4 linked regions of the Callithrix jacchus genome follow. The main gene of each other region encodes a partner of the protein of the gene in region 4 in a complex. Links are inferred from orthologs where the notes say so. Each region holds a gene or a part of one and is shown on either strand. Other genes may lie near its edges. The genes, in order: TAB1, AKAP13, NOD2 and MAPK14.

Region 1 (3,863 bases), on a different chromosome or scaffold from region 4:
TGTTTGTTTAATGTTTCAATAAAGCTTTCAATACAGTTTTATTATTATTATTATTTTTTTTTTTGAGACGGACTCTCACTCTTGTTGCCCAGACTGGAGTGCAATGGCATGATCTCAGCTCACTGCAACCTCTGACTCCTGGGTTCAAGCAGTTTTCCTGCCTCAGCCTCCCCAGTAGCTGGGATTACAGGCATTTGCCACCACGCCTGGCTTTTTTTTTGTTTTTAGTAGAGACAGATGGGATTTCACCAAGTTGGCCAGGCTGGTCTCAAATTCCTGACACCAAATGGTCTCCCCTCCTCAGCTTCCCAAAGTGCCGGGGTTGCAGGTGTGAGCCACTGCACCCAGCCAATACAAATTTTATCTTCCTTGAAATTGCTGTGGTTCTCCCAGTTATTCCAGTTTGCTCTAGTTCCGCATGATGGTCTTGGGAGTGCCCTTGTAAACAGGGCACACTTCTCAGGTGGGAGGCCAGATCTAGGGCAAGAAATGGCACCTGGGCCTTGCATCAAAGTTGTTCCTGGGCCTTAAAAAAATACAGATGCTCAGGGTGTACCGTAGGGAGATTGGGAAATTCAGCATTTGTGTTTGGGCCGGGGTCGGGGCCTGGACCCTGTGAGTGTGTTTAAAGCTGTGCATTGATTATGCTGAACAGCCTGGTTTGAGATCCTCTACGGTGGAGTGGGTGTTGCAAACAGACTAGGGTGCTGTAATCAGGGTACAGTCGGGGTACATGAGAGGGCCATCAGCCAGTCCTGGGGAGGGTCATCCTGAAGGAAGACCACCTGGAGGTGGTGACTCCTGAGCCAGAGAGTCCCGAAGGACCTGGAGAATTGTGAGGCAAGGAGGAGGGTGTTCACGTGGAGGCAAAGAGCAGGGGATGGACAGGCCTGCAGGCATTTGGGACTGGGGGAGAAGGATGTGGCAGGGGAGATGGGAGGGGATGTCGGGGTGGCCTGAGGATGTCTTACAAACTAGCTCATAAACTCCGACTTATAAGCCAGTCTCAGTCACTCTCCCTGGCACTTGGAGGCCCCAGTGTCAGAGAGAGTGACAAGTCAGAGTTTCTCTAGGGTGAGTCTTAGGTCACCTGAAAGCATCACTCGTGGGGAGCGGCCTGTACTTCAGATGTCCTGGGTCCTGCCCAGATCAGTCATTCTGAGGGTGGGGCCTGCAGCCTGCAGTTTCAACCAGTGCCCAAGGGATTCCTTTGCAGTGTGCATTTGGAGCCAGTGCAGTAAGAGGTGCAGGCCCCAAAGAGTTTCCTGTCAAGAGTTTGAGACCTTTGTATGTGTTTCACTAGGTTTCATAACAGCTCACTCCTGGAGGCCATTGCTGCACCTTGCCTTTGGAATGCTGGAGTCTTTCCGTTTTCCTGGGGAACTAGTTTGTAGACTAGCCATAAAAACAGCAAACCCTTCTGCAGGTGTCTGTTCATACAAACATCTTTGTTTTCCCAAGGGAAGTGGAACCCTCTGTGTAGGGCTGCCGGCCTGCTAGGTTTTTGTTGCAGAAGAAAAAGATGAAGTGGGATCTACGCTGCAGAAGCAGTGGTGCCTCACGGCTTCCTGGTGTCCTTCCCCAGGAGCAGCAGCCAAGCTGGACAGACGACCTTCCGCTCTGCCACCTCTCTGGGGTTGGCTCAGCCTCCAACCGAAGCTACTCTGCTGATGGCAAGGGCACTGAGAGCCACCCGCCAGAGGACAGCTGGCTCAAGTTCAGGTGTGTGTGCCAGCATTTTGGTCCTGGACCCAGGGAGTTGGTGAGTTTGCAAGGAAAGACATTGACTTTGCAGCTTTCTCATATGAGCTTGCCAGTGAGATGTGGCCTGTGGGAGGTGGCCTCTGCTGCTGCCCTTTATACTGCTGGACTTTAGACCAGCCAAGGGTTTCCTCTGATGGGGTAGTGTGAGCATGGGGAGGAGGGTATCCCAGAAGGTCATAGCCACCAGAGTGAAATGATGCCCAAAGCAGGGGGACCCAGGTCGGTGCCTGAAGCTGCAGCCGCTGTAGCTTTAGCCTCCCCCAATTCCTTTCCCTTTCTCCTTCCACCTCCGTGTGAGACCCTGGTCTTAGTCCTCCCTCTGCCCTCTCCCACTGCCAGGAGTGAGAACAACTGCTTCCTGTATGGGGTCTTCAACGGCTACGATGGCAACCGGGTGACCAACTTCGTGGCCCAGCGGCTGTCCGCGGAGCTCCTCCTGGGCCAGCTGAATGTTGAGCATGCTGAGGCCGACGTGCGGCGCGTGCTGCTGCAGGTAATGGTGCTGGGGCTGGCAGTAACCTGGCTCCATCGTGTCCCCCACCCCCAGGGCCTGGGCCCTGCACGTCTAGCACGTTGCCAGGGTTGGTGTAAAGATCCTGCCGGCCCCTTCACCGTGATAGAGAAGCAGCTCCCGGCATAGGGGCCCCTTCTCTAGGAGTCCAGGACCAGCCAGCAAGCAGCAGGCCTTCAGTGGCTAGCAGAGCTGACAGGGGAGGTACTGCTGGAGACGGGGGGATTTAGGGATGTGAGCATGGAGAGAGGTGTCAAGTAGGAGCAGGGCAAGGCCTGGTCGGAATGGGGTCATTCGGAGCTACCCATTTCTTTCTCATGTAGCCAGGTGCTCAGCCTCCAGGTGCAGGAAGCATATCTGGGCATTCAGGGAAGACCTTGCCTCCCCTTTTTGATGGGGTGCTGCCATCATTCGCTGGTTCCACCTTTCTGCTTGCACTGTTGGGAATTTTCCTCCTGGCATCTCCTTTCAGGAGCATGTCTCAGGCCCATTTTAGATGAGAAGATGGGCTTCTGTTCCCAGAGAACAGTGGTGCCAGCCTTTTCCTCCCCTTCATGGCCTCAGGCTCCATGGCCAGTGATTGTCAGCAGATCTCACACCCAGGGGGAGTTGTCAGTGTCACCAGTGTCCCAGGGCCAGCAGAGTTTGACAGAAGCCTCCCAGGAAGAAGTCGTAGTAATCATGGGAGCTGTCATAGTCCTGGCAGTTTCTCTGAGCAGGTGCCATGCTGAGTGCCAGGCTGGACTTACCCTCGGAACAACACTTAACCTCTGTTGTGTGAGACTGAGGTGTCCAGAGGTCACACCAGCTGGGCCTACTCCAAGCCTTTGCTCTTAGCCTCCGCACTGTCTGCTGCCTCCAAGCCCTCTGAGTGCCGCCTCTGTTGGCTACGCACCCCTATGGGGCTGAAGGGCTTTGTCAAAGACACGGATCTGCAAGAAGCAGCCAGTGCCTTGCAGTGCCGGGCTGGAGGCAAAACCGACATGCGGAAAGCCCCATCACAGGAGGACCTGCAGTGAATACAGTGAAGCTGTTGCTGTTCTTCATAGGGGGCATTTTAGCACCAGTGACAGTGGTGTTTTGAACCAGTCTTTGCCCTGTCCTGTGTCCCTCCAGGCCTTCGATGTGGTAGAGAGGAGCTTCCTGGAGTCCATTGACGATGCCTTGGCTGAGAAGGCAAGCCTCCAGTCGCAACTGCCAGAGGTAATTTCCCCAGCCCACACCCAGGGGAGTCAAGTCCAGGCCCAGCTTTGCAAGAAGCATGGACTTAGCTACTTTGTCTTGACATTACTGGGCCAGAGCAGCAGGAGTTAGGGAGCAGTTTCTCATGGGGAACACTGGTGGGTGGCCACAGGTGAGGGACCTTACCACCCTGCTATGGGCAGCTGCACACTAAAGCTCAGCATTGGCTGGGCAGTGGTGGGCATGAGGAAAGCTTTTCGCAGTCCTTTGACCTGAATGGGTCCCCACCCTTGTCACCCACCTGCTCACATCGCCCGCCCACTGGCATCTGTAGCGCTGACCTCTGTGCTGTGAGTCAGGTCATCTCCGGCTTTCCTGGAAGAACTTTCCCTGGATGGAGTTGCAG
Region 2 (3,863 bases), on a different chromosome or scaffold from region 4:
TCTAATTCATTTTGAACATCCTAATGTATAGGCAAAAATGAGAGAAGAAAGTAGTATCAGGAACGAGAGAACATTTGTATTCTCTTAGATCAGCTTATCATGTGACCTTCGAAGGGCTAGAATGGAAGTGAGTTATGTCCAACAGGATTTTTGCTCAGAGGTATCGGTGGCATCTTCTTCTATGGACAATTTTTTAAAAGTGTATTTCATTTCCTCCTAGAAAACAAACCTCAAGCAGATGGACAATCTTAAGCCCTTAATGGTGACAGCACAGGATTCTTCTGGTGCCCCACAGACAGATGGCCAGTTTCTTCCCTGTGCACCAGAGCCCATGGACAGTCAGCAACTTTCTTCTCCTGAAGAGACGGAGAGCTCTCAGTGCTGCCCAGGGAGCTCTGTTGCACAGACTGAAAGTCCCTGTGATTTGTCAAGCATAGTTGAGGAGGAGAATACAGACCGTTCCTGTAGGAAGAAAAATAAAGGCATGGAAAGAAAAGGGGAAGAGGTGGGGCCAGCACCTATTGTGGACTCTGGAACTGTGTCTGATCAAGACAGCTGCCTTCAGAGCTTGCCTGATTATGGAGTAAAGGGCACGAAACGCCGTTTGTCTTGTGGAAACAAAAACGAAGAAACTGGAACAAAATCTTCTGGAATGCCCACAGACGAGGAGTCCTTGAGCAGTGGAGATGCTGTGCTGCAAAGAGATGTGGTCATGGTGCCAGGCACAGCCCAGTATTCCTCTGCAGGTGAACTGGCAAGCATTTCAACAACAGATGTCGGTACCCCAGAGAGTGCAGGGGAAGCGGAACATGGGCTCATGAACCCAGATGCCACTGTCCAGAAGAATGTGCTTCAAGTAGGGGAGAGTACAAAGGATAATATGGGCACAGCTGGAGCCTCTGACATGCAAGTCACAAGTAAGCCTGTGGATAAAGTCAGTGTCCCAAACTGTGCCTCTGCCACCAGTTCCCTGGGTGGTAACAAACCTGCTGAATCCTCACTTGCATTTAGTAATGAGGAAACCTCCATTGAAAAAACAGCAGAAACGGAAACTTCACGAAGTTGTGAGGAGAGTGTTCATGCCCCAGTAGAACAGAATTCTGTGGTGCTTCCAGCTGCTGCAAAAGACAAGATTTCAGATGGGTTAGAACCTTGCACTGTCTTAGCAGGCATAGGTGAAGCAACGTCACCCTCAGATTTAGCCCTTCCCAGGCTGGAAGTAGATGTAATGCCACACCAGAACTCAGAAATAAATTCATCTCATGCTCAAAGCCAAAAGGGCAAATCTTCACCCATTTGTTCTACAACTGGAGATTATAAACTTTGCTCAAACTCCGCGTGTCAACAGAACACAGTGACTTCTAGTGGCGAGTTGGTTGCACAACTGTGTGATAATATAGTTAGCCAGCCCAAAAGCACCACAGCAAGGCAACCCAACTCACAAGATCCACCCAAGGCCACCCACTGTGAAGACCCACAGGCTAATACAATCACCTCTGACCCGGTAAGGGATACCCAGGAACGTGTGGATTTTTGTCCTTTCAAAGTGGTGGATAACGAAGGCCAAGGAAAAGATGTGAAATTCGATAAATCTTTAGCAAATATGCTTGAGGTGCCTTCACATCCACATCCAGTTGTCCCTAAAATGGAGAAAGAACTGGTGCCAGACCAGGCAGTAATATCAGACAGTACTTTCTTTCTGGCCAACAGTCCAGGCAGTGAATCAGTAACCAGGGATGACGCACTTTCTTTTGTCCCCTCCCAGAAAGAAAAGGGAACAGCAACTCCTGCGCTACATGAGGCTACAGATTGTAGAGATGGCCCAGACGGAGATGCGAATGATCCTGATACGCAGCCACTAGAAGACAGGGCAGCAGGCCTGTCCCCATGCTCCACTGTTGCAGAGCTTCAGCTCGTGATGGGGAATACCAGTCTCACCAGACTTGGTGGAGAACATGAGGGTCCCGCCCCTTCAGCAGCTCCGGAAGTTCTGAGTATCAAGGGGGACACAGACTCCTCCCTGCAAAATGCGGGTAAGGCCACTTTGGCTTTAGATTCAGTTTTGACTGAAGAAGGAAAAATTCTGGTGGTTTCAGAAAGCTCTGGAGCTCAGGAACAAGATAAGGATAAAGCAGTGACCTCTTCCTCCATTATGGAAAATGCTCTTTCTTCAGGAACATTGCAGGAGGAGCAGGGAACACCATCTCCTGAACAAGAGACTCCACGATTTCATGAAAAATCTATCTCAGCCGCCTCTGCCAAGGACGAAGCACTTCAGCTAAGCAATTCACCGGGTGCACCCTCTGCCTATCTTAAGGCAGAAACTGAACATAACAAGGAAGTGGCCCCACAAGTCTCACTGCTAACTCAAGGTTGGGCTTTCCAGAGCCTGGTGCTACCAGGAACAAGTCTGGGTACAAACTCAAGGCAGGAAGCCTTGGGTGCAGAGCAGAACAGCTCCACTCTGTTGCAGTGTCTGTTGCCAGATGGGTGTGATTGGTCTGAGGCTCTTAATTACAGTCAGCCTTCTCCTCTGGATGACGAAGTGAAGAACACTAAATGCCAGGGAAAACCTAATATTAGTTCCTGTGAGGTGAGTGGAAATGTGACCATGGATATTACAGGGTTTAATGATGTACAAGATACAGCTGAGCCCAGAAGAAAGAGTGTGTCACACAACACCCAAGACATCCTGATTCCAAACGTCTCGTCGAGCCAAGAGAAGAAGGTCATCCTGGGTTTGCCAGTAGCTTTACAAGACAAAGCTGTGACTGACCCACAGGGATTTGGAACCCCAGAGATGGTACCTCTTGATTGGGTGAAAGGGAAGCTGGAGGGAGCAGACCACAGCTGTAACACGGGCGACTCTGAGGAAGCCCGAATAGACAATGAAGCACATCCTGTCCTACTGCAGCCTGCTGCCAAGGAGCTCCCCACAAAAATGGGGCTCTCAGCCCATCATGATGGGACCCCAGCTGGCAAGAGGGAAGTTATGCGAGGCCCGCCTTCAGACAGGGGAAGGAGCACTCCCTCTCTACCTTGCTTGGTCTCTGCCCAAGCTGCACCTTTGCCTAAGGGAGTGGACTTGATAGAGGAGGCTGCCAGCCGTATAGTGGATGCCGTCATCCAAGGAGTCAAGGCCGCTGGAGCACTGCTTACTGAGGAGAAGGCCTGTCACGTGTCAGCGTCCAGCGCTGAGTTGGATCCTCTCACTGAAGGGCTAGAGAATGCTTCTACAGAAAAAGTGAGTGCTTTCTCGCCTGGGGAGAGCCTGCCAGTGGGCAGTACTCATGAGGAAGCCACGGGGAGCCTTGGAGGCTGTTTTGCTGGAGGGGAGGAGCCAGAGAAGATTATTCTACCTGTGCGAGGGCCTGAGGCAGCAACAGGTAAGCAAAACAGAATACAAAATTAACAGTCTGAGAAGCCGATTACCTTAAGAATCTCTGTGGTGTCCTGGTAAAAATACAGGCATCTAGGCCGGGCGCAGTGGCTCAAGCCTGTAATCCCAGCACTTTGGGAGGCCGAGGCGGGTGGATCACGAGGTTGGCAGATCGAGACCATCCTGGTCAACATGGTGAAACCCCGTCTCTACTAAAAATTACAAAAAATTGGCTGGGCACGGTGGCGTGTGCCTGTAATCCCAGCTACTCAGGAGGCTGAGGCAGGAGAATTGCCTGAGCCCGGGGGCGGAGGTTGCAGTGAGCCGAGATCGCACCATTGCACTCCAGCCTGGGTAACAAGAGCGAAACTCCGTCTCAAAAAAAAAAAAAAAAAAAAAAAAAGCATCTTTGTTGTCTTGATGTCTTATAGCCATTGGGTAGGTAGCCACATTAATAGTCACCACCATCAGGAGAGGCGTGTCA
Region 3 (4,561 bases), on a different chromosome or scaffold from region 4:
GTGTGTGTGTGTGTGTGTGTTGGAAGCGGTGTGTGTGTATATGTGTGTTGGGAAGCAGTGTGTGTGTGGTGTGTGTTGGGAAGCAGTGTGTGTGTGGTGTGTGTGTTGGGAAGCAGTGTGTGTGTGGTGTGTGTGTTGGGAAGCAGTGTGTGTGTGGTGTGTGTTGGGAAGTGGGGTGTGTGTGTGTGTGTGTTGGAAGCGGTGTGTGTGTATATGTGTGTTGGGAAGCAGTGTGTGTGTGGTGTGTGCTGGGAAGCGGTGTGTGTGTGTGTGTGTTGGAAGCGGTGTGTGTGTATATGTGTGTTGGGAAGCAGTGTGTGTGTGGTGTGTGTTGGGAAGCAGTGTGTGTGTGGTGTGTGTTGGGAAGCAGTGTGTGTGTGGTGTGTGTGTTGGGAAGCAGTGTGTGCGTGGTGTGTGTGTTGGGAAGCAGTGTGTGTGTGGTGTGTGTTGGGAAGTGGGGTGTGTGTGTGTGTGTGTGTGTTGGAAGCGGTGTGTGTGTATATGTGTGTTGGGAAGCAGTGTGTGTGTGGTGTGTGTTGGGAAGCAGTGTGTGTGTGGTGTGTGTTGGGAAGTGGGGTGTGTGTGTGTGTGTGTGTGTTGGAAGCGGTGTGTGTGTATATGTGTGTTGGGAAGCAGTGTGTGCATGGTGTGTGTGTTGGGAAGCAGTGTGTGCGTGGTGTGTGTGTTGGGAAGCAGTGTGTGTGTGGTGTGTGTTGGGAAGCGGGGTGTGTGTGTGTGTGTGTGTTGGGAAGCGGGGTGTGTGTGTGTGTGTGTTGGAAGCGGTGTGTGTGTATATGTGTGTTGGGAAGCAGTGTGTGTGTGGTGTGTGTTGGGAAGCAGTGTGTGTGTGGTGTGTGTTGGGAAGTGGGGTGTGTGTGTGTGTGTGTGTGTTGGAAGCGGTGTGTGTGTATATGTGTGTTGGGAAGCAGTGTGTGCATGGTGTGTGTGTTGGGAAGCAGTGTGTGCGTGGTGTGTGTGTTGGGAAGCAGTGTGTGTGTGGTGTGTGTTGGGAAGCGGGGTGTGTGTGTGTGTGTGTGTGTTGGGAAGCGGGGTGTGTGTGTGTGTGTGTGTTGGAAGCGGTGTGTGTGTATATGTGTGTTGGGAAGCAGTGTGTGTGTGTGTGTGTGTTGGAAGCAGTGTGTGCGTGGTGTGTGTGTTGGGAAGCAGTGTGTGTGTGGTGTGTGTTGGGAAGCGGGGTGTGTGTGTGTGTGTGTGTTGGGAAGCGGGGTGTGTGTGTGTGTGTGTGTTGGAAGCGGTGTGTGTGTATATGTGTGTTGGGAAGCAGTGTGTGCGTGGTGTGTGTGTTGGGAAGCGGGTTGTTCTGAGGACTGTCCGGTTCCCTCCTGGTTGAAATGAGGCCCAGAAAGGGAGGCCTGCTGACCAGGGCACCCAGCCAGGACCGTCCAGCCCCGCAGACAGGCCCGGCCCCTTTCCTGCGCCCTCCCTCCCTGTCCCCTGTGAGCCTCGCCAGCCCTGGAGTGGGCGCTCTCGGGGCTGCGTGGCCTGGGACTGGAGCGGGTGCGGCCGTCCGGGCAGAGCAGGGGCGGGGTCCAGGCGGGGGTGGAGCCGAACGCCCGCGCAGACGGAGGCGCAGCCCAAGCCGGAGGTGGAGCCCGGAGTCGTGGCCCACAGCAGGCCTGGGAGTCCGGGCGCCGGCGGCTCGCGGTGAGTGCTGTTTCCTGGCGCGAGGCCTGTGCCTAGCGCCTGGGGGTGGGCTGCGGGAAGACTGTGGGTGTCCATGGTGCCGCCCCCAGGACTCGAACACTTGGCGTCCGTCCGAGCAGTCTAGCAGTCTTGGCTGCAGGGCTTGGAGAAGGGTTGCCTCGGTTTCTCCTGGGGGAGTCCCGGGTGTAGATGGGACATGAGAAGGAAAGGGGACATCTCCAGGTTGGGGAGGCTCCTGGCAGGAGTGGAAAGTCCTGAGGAGCCCGGGCTTCAGGTCTCTGAGGGCGCCATTCTTTTGAGTTCTTTCCTCTCTGTGGGACTCAGTTTCCTCATCTTCACCATGCCAGTGAGTGGTGTGAGAGGGTCTGCCCGGAGGATCCTACTGCTGCTGTCTGCACTTCTTAGGGGAATCTCCTGCCTCCTCCTTCTCCCTTGGTGGGTGTGAGATCTAAGTTCAAATCCATCCCTCCCCAGATAGCCCACACCAGGACCTGTGTGGCCACATCCCCCGGCTGTTTGCTCTCTGCTTCTCAAGTTGACGGAGCAGCTGTCTGGTCCTGCTTACATTCCAATGAACTGAAAAGCCCTCCACCCAATAGCCCTGCGGAGGGCCTCCTGAAGCTGCATGAGGGTTGGAGGCTGGACCCCCGCTTCCAAGTTTGCTTTTTCTGAGCCCTTGGGCTTCTTGCCATGGCCTTGGTTTTCCCATGGGCTGTGACTTGGCCTCCTCCAAGGTCCTTGTTCTACAGAGGGGGATCGCCTGCCCTGTCACCCTCCCCAACCCCTTAGTGAAGAAGACCAGAGTGACATCCTCACTGCCTGTACTTGCCTGTCCCAATCACTCAGCCATGGGGTTGCTGCAGCCCTTGAATTTGGCCTCGCAAGGTCCCTCTGCCTCTCTGCACCCTGGGATCAAGGCTGGAAGCATCCTCATCCAGCCCACCTCCCTCCAACCCAGTTCAGAAGCCCTCTGCAACACATGCCTGGTGGTGGGGAGCTTATTACTGATGAGGTGGCTTTTCAGTGTCTTACGGCTCTTGTTTCCTTTACCTAAAATCTGTGGCTTACAGATTTTGCACTTGGTTCCACATCTGTCTCCTGGAGCCATGCAGAGCACATCCATTCTTTCACCCATTCCAGCAGTCATCATTCATGCACTGAATGAGATGTGAGACTGAGCAATGGGGAAATCAGATTAAACTCCCTGCCCTCATGGAGTGCACATTCTGGAAAGGAATGGACAGCAATGAAAGAGGTAAATCTGTGGCATGGCAGGCAGTGGGAAGTGCTACGAGTAAAACAAAGCGGGGAAGCAGGATGGGGTGCTGGGGCTGGGTATTGCATTGTATATAGCACAGTTAGGGAAGGCTTCCCCAAGACCACGACAGCTGGGCAGTCATCAGGAGGCAAGGGCGAGCCTTGTGAGTATCTGTGCGGGCGGGTGGGGGGGCTTTGGCTTTTACTCTGAGCGCGGTGGGAGCCCTGGTTTGGAGCTGAGAAGTCACCTGCTCTGACTTGGGGTCTGGCAGGCCCATCCAGCTGTGGGGTGGAGAATGGATAGTGATGGGTGGACTAAGGGCAAAAGGAGAGCCTGGTGAGAGGATCAGTACATTGTTCCGGGGAGAGACCAAAGTGGCTTACACCATGGCCCACAGGTGGTTAAAAAAAATAGAAAAAAACCCCAGACCTTCAGATTTGGGATATATTTCAAAGGCTATGTCAATAGGATTTGGGGTGCAAGAGAAAGGTAGAATCAAGGATGATTCTGAGTTTTTGGCTCAAGCTTCTGGAGGTTTGAAGCTGCCGTGAACTGCAATGGGAGTTGCGACGGGGGAGATCAGGAGTTTGGTTTTGTGCTTGTCGTGTGAGCTGTCCATTAGGCACCAACGATGATTAAGCAGTTGGGAAAAGTTAAGGGCGGAGGTTGGAGTTGGAAATGAAACTGTGGGCATCGTCACCCTATAGCTGGTATTTAAAGCCGCAAGAGCAGGTGGCTTCATCTAGGAAGGGAGCACTATGGAGAAGAGAAGGGGTCCAGCCATTGAGCGCTGGGGCCCCCGGTGTTAGGAACCAGCCAGGAAGACAGAAAGAGTGAAAATGAGAGAGTTGGGGTGCCCCAAGGGGGAAGGAGGGAGCAATTATGACCAATGCCCCTGGTGGAGCAATTATGACCAATGCCCCTGGCAGAGCAAGCAGGCTGAGGGCTTAGGATTGAGCAATGGGAGGTCACTGGTGACCATGATCAAAACAGTCTGACTGGAGCTGGATGGGGAACTTGGGGGATGAGAAGGGATGGGAGGATTTGGGGACAGCAGTGCAGGCACAGACAAGGGGGCCTGCTATAAAGGAGGCAGAGAAATGGGATTGGAGCCAAATGAAGAAGAGGGGCGTCAAGAGAGGGCCTTACTTTTACAATGGAGGATTAGAGTGCATTGTTCACTGGTGGGGGAACTGGTCTTTTAAGGAGAGAAGCTCAGTGCTGGGGAGGGAGAATGGAGGATGGCTGTGGGAGGGTGTGGGGCTTGGCCCCAGCAGAGTCCCAGAAGGCTTGGGAAGTTGAGCTTCCTTGAGTTTCCCCTCCTTTTCTGTCTGCAAGGGGTCAGTGGGCTGAGATTTCAGCACTTAAGCCAAGCATTTGCTCTTGGCCCCAGAAAAACCAGGCTGGCTAAGGTCTCAGGAAGGAAGGAGGTGTCTGGGCTCAGGCCTGGGCCTGGGGTTTGGGGAGAGCCCATGCGGGTCACCCCTTGACCCTCTCTTTCAGCAAGGAAGTGCCCCTTTCTCTAAATGGCCCTCACCTTGGGGAGGACAATGGTGTCTTTGAAGTTGTAGTAACTGAAGGAGAGAGCAGAAGGTGGTGCAGATAGACTGTTAGATTTTGTCTGAAGAAGGGAGGCCC
Region 4 (3,863 bases):
TTTTAATAAAAAAAATTTTCATTAAAATGCAACGTTTTGTGTACAGTTTGGCAAAATTATATATCCACTCAACTGTCACATTTATGATAAAGAACTTTTTTTTTCTTTCGAGTTGGAGTCTTGCTCTGTCACCCAGTCTGGAAGTGCAGTGGTTTGATCTCAGCTCACGGCAACCTCCACCTACCGAGTTCAAGTGATTCTCCTGCCTCAGCTTCCCGAGTAGCTGGGACTACAGGGGCATGCCACCACGCCTAGCTAATTTTGTATTTTTAGTAGAGACAGGGTTTCACCATGTTGGCCAGGATGGTCTCCATCTCCTGACCTTGTGATCCACCCTCCTTGGCCTCCCAAAGTGCTGGGATTGCAGGCATAAGTCACCGCTCCTGGCCAAGAACATTTCTGTTACTTTAAAAAGTCTGTTGTGCTCCTTCCTAGTCAATCCCCACCCTTCCACCCCTAATTCTCGCTCAAAGCAACTATGGATCTGCTTCTAACACTATGATTCGTTTTATCTTTTCTGGAGTTTCATGTACATGGAATCATATAGTGTGTATTTTTGTGTATCTAGCCTTTGCTTAGTGTAATGATTCTGTATTGTTGTGTCAATGTTTTTTTCCTTTTTATTGCTAATAGTATTTTGTTTTATGAACATGTCAGGATTTTTAAATCTGTCCACCTGCTGATGGACATTTGCTTTAGTTTGACTATGAGGCTATGTAAAGCAACTGTGAATATTCATGTGCAAACCTTTGTATGGCCATAAGTTCTCATTGCGCTTGATTAAATACCAAGGAGTGACATTTTTGTTTTGCTTTTTGTAATTCAGTTTTTTGAGTTTTCACTGTAAGTTTACCATGCACTCTAAGCATGGACCAGGAAATCTCTTTATAAAAGTGCTATCTTGTTTTCCTTTTTAAAAAGGCAACAGAGTTGTTGTTGTTGTTGTTTTCCCCTGCCTGTTTATAAGTCTTAACAGTTTGTCTGTTCCTCTTCTGCCCTTTAGATCCTGGATTTTGGACTGGCTCGGCACACAGATGATGAAATGACAGGCTACGTGGCCACTAGGTGGTATAGGGCTCCTGAGATCATGCTGAACTGGATGCATTACAACCAGACAGGTATTACTTGCACTGGTTATTTAGGGCCTTATTTAATTCTATGTTGGATGCATTTGGGATTCTCAGAAGTAGAGATTATGGGAGGGGAGAGAAATATCTTTTCTTTCCTCAGTGATCCTTTTAAAGCCTACAGGTGAAAACATTTCACTTGCTCAGATGGGGAATTGGGGTTTTATATACAGCTTTTAAAGCTCGTGATTTAGCAACTGGGTTTTTATTTATTTAGATTTTGAATTTATTCTCTGAGTATTTATACCTGAAGACAAAGAGTCCATAATTTTAACCCCTCAATATTACTTGGAAGAATCTACCATTCTTTTGCTCCTTTTTTGAACAGCTTATTTCTCCTTTTTTTTTTTTTTTTTATTTCTCTTAAGTATGTTTTGACTTACCCCACCTTTGAACAGCCCTTTAGTGGGGTAAAGATCAAGCTCATTTATTTCTGTAAAAATGAGAATGATTGTTGAGGCTCAGAGGTTTTAAATAGTAATTTGAGTATTTCACTCCTAGTTATGGTTTTATTTGTTGCCAAGTATAATAACAGTGACATCACATGTACTTTTATTTCTCTTTAATATTGCCAGTTGATATTTGGTCAGTGGGATGCATAATGGCCGAGCTGTTGACTGGAAGAACATTGTTTCCTGGCACAGACCGTATCCTTTAAAAAGTTTTGGATTCTTGTTTCTTATTTGTATTCTGGTGTCCATGGATGTATACTCCTTTTACTTATCTCTAGGGAAGGCTCTCAGTTTTTTGCTTTTATAGTCCAGATAATATGTTATGAGGTCTCCCTTCTTACTGAGTAGCTTGCCCTGCCAAGAAAGAGGCTTCAGTTTACTTTCATGAGTTGGAAAAAATTCCTCCTAAGCTGAAAAACCCTTCAAATCTGTCATCTTTTTGCAACAAACCCTTATTAATCATCCCACAGTGGTTCTGAGACCTGAGCATACTCATGAAAAGCTCTGGATCCCAATGACAGGTTTAGTTTACTTGTATAAACACTTAATGAGTACAAGATACCCATTTATAATTAAAGGGTGTCTTGCTATTATGTTTGTTTTATGTATCAAAAAGGCTATGTTTGGTACCTGCAATGATATATTGTTTATTTGTTATGTTTGTTTTTTGACAACAAATAGTAAAAGCAAGAAGTGACAAGGTTACCCTGTCATGTGCTTTTTTTTTTTCCCAGCACAACTTTATCTCAGATGGCAGCCAAACCAATTAATTTACTCCCAGACTTACCGTCTAGTTTATGGTTTATTATATAGCCCCTTTATTTTAGCTCCTTTTCTATCTGCAGTATGCTTGTTTCATGGTTTAGTAATAATGTCATGAAAATGTGATTTATTGGAACTCTCATCAGTTCTACTTATGGAAGATGTTTAGGTAAGAAAGAATGTTAAAACATATGTCTAGAATTAGTTTTGGGGATTTTTTTTTTAAATATAATTGAGTTAACTAGCCTTCAAGTGGTTTTGGTTGGGCTGTTAGATATGCTACAATTACTTCCGATCTATTATGCCTAGAGATGTAAAAGCCATTTTAGTCCCTTACCTAAATAAATGGATGAGTTTATAAACCAGAATGTCAGTTCACTTTGCTCACAGTTTGGGATATACTTCTATAATGACTATGATGTCCATGATACCTACCCCTGTGTTCTGTCTTCTGCCACAGAGAATGTACTTTCATTATGAACTGAAAAAAACCTCTATTTCTTAGGTAAAGCTGTTTCTTTCTCTCTGAATGTTACTGGATTGATACAGACTCCCTGTACTTCAGGCTCCCTGTACTTAGCTTACCTTATTACTCCCTACCTCTGGATTTTAAGTTAGTTTAATACCTGGTATTTCTCCTTTGTCCTTTGCTTCCTTCACCTTATATCTGTTTCTTGGAAATTTGGTATGTATGTGTGTGCATATATATATGTGTGTATATATATATATATATGTGTGTGTGCGTGTATATATATATGTGTATGTACACACACACACACACACACACACACACACACACACATATTACACTCCAAGGTAAGAGAATTAGGGAAAATTTATACTTCCCCCTTTCCTCAGGTACTTATCTCAGAGTCCTATCCTTGGTTTGTCCTCTGGAATAGCTGCTATCCTGATGCTATTCCCTGTTCCCTCCTCCCTTTCCTTTTTTTGTGTCTGTATCTCCAGCTACCCATTCAGTCAGTCACAGACCTCCATGCCTGTGTAGACACAGAAGGTGGCAAAGGGAGAAAGACTGTATAGCATACAGGTTAAGCACATGCTCTGGAGCCAGACTTCCTGGGTTTAGATCTTAGCTCTTTTATTTCCAGCTATGTAACTTTGAGCAAGTTTTCTAACCTCTGTGCCTCTCAGTTTCCTTAACCATAAAATGATAATAATCATACGTACTCACAAGGTTGTTGTAAGAATTCAGCCAGATAATAACTGGAAAGTAGCCGGGCGCGGTGGCTCACGCCTGTAATCCCAGCACTTTGGGAGGCCGAGGTGGGTGGATCACGAGGTCAAGAGATCGAGACCATCCTGGTCAACATGGTGAAACCCCGTCTCTACTAAAAATACAAAAAATTAGCTGGGCATGGTGGCGTGGTGAGCCGAGATCGCGCCATTGCACTCCAGCCTGGGTAACAAGAGCGAAACTCCGCCTCAAAAAAAAAAAAAAAAATAACTGGAAAGTACTGAGACAAGCCTGCCAGTAAATGTTAGCCATCATCTTCAGTAATGA

Evidence for each region.
Region 1: the proteins of MAPK14 (region 4) and TAB1 are in contact, whole or in part, in a crystal structure (PDB 4LOP), measured with the Mus musculus proteins. The link is inferred for Callithrix jacchus from reciprocal best matches to the Homo sapiens genes MAPK14 and TAB1. Residues at the interface, in NP_036081.1 of Mus musculus: Gly110, Ala111, Asn115, Ile116, Cys119, Gln120, Lys121, Leu122, Thr123, Asp124, Asp125, His126, Phe129, Val158, Asn159, Glu160, Asp161, Cys162, Leu217, Thr218, Gly219, Arg220, Thr221, Leu222, Asn272, Val273, Phe274, Ile275, Gly276, Ala277; in NP_079885.2 of Mus musculus: Val385, Tyr386, Pro387, Val388, Ser389, Val390, Pro391, Tyr392, Leu405, Ser406, Leu407, Val408, Met409, Pro410.
Region 2: MAPK14 (region 4) and AKAP13 share a complex: the UniProt entries of both Homo sapiens proteins name them as parts of the signaling complex. The link is inferred for Callithrix jacchus from reciprocal best matches to the Homo sapiens genes MAPK14 and AKAP13.
Region 3: MAPK14 (region 4) and NOD2 share a complex: the UniProt entries of both Homo sapiens proteins name them as parts of the signaling complex. The link is inferred for Callithrix jacchus from reciprocal best matches to the Homo sapiens genes MAPK14 and NOD2.

Annotation. Positions count from the first base shown.
Region 1 is NC_133502.1:210,212,362-210,216,224, forward strand, and holds part of TAB1 (TGF-beta-activated kinase 1 and MAP3K7-binding protein 1), read left to right. Parts: intron 1-1,585; coding exon 1,586-1,722; intron 1,723-2,103; coding exon 2,104-2,257; intron 2,258-3,391; coding exon 3,392-3,478; intron 3,479-3,863. UniProt on the Homo sapiens protein: Key adapter protein that plays an essential role in JNK and NF-kappa-B activation and proinflammatory cytokines production in response to stimulation with TLRs and cytokines.
Region 2 is NC_133507.1:29,704,322-29,708,184, forward strand, and holds part of AKAP13 (A-kinase anchor protein 13), read left to right. Parts: intron 1-220; coding exon 221-3,386; intron 3,387-3,863. UniProt on the Homo sapiens protein: Scaffold protein that plays an important role in assembling signaling complexes downstream of several types of G protein-coupled receptors.
Region 3 is NC_133521.1:8,618,155-8,622,715, forward strand, and holds the start of NOD2 (nucleotide-binding oligomerization domain-containing protein 2), read left to right. Parts: upstream 1-1,602; 5' UTR 1,603-1,665; intron 1,666-4,561. UniProt on the Homo sapiens protein: Pattern recognition receptor (PRR) that detects bacterial peptidoglycan fragments and other danger signals and plays an important role in gastrointestinal immunity.
Region 4 is NC_133505.1:44,389,396-44,393,258, forward strand, and holds part of MAPK14 (mitogen-activated protein kinase 14), read left to right. Parts: intron 1-1,003; coding exon 1,004-1,118; intron 1,119-1,702; coding exon 1,703-1,774; intron 1,775-3,863. UniProt on the Homo sapiens protein: Serine/threonine kinase which acts as an essential component of the MAP kinase signal transduction pathway.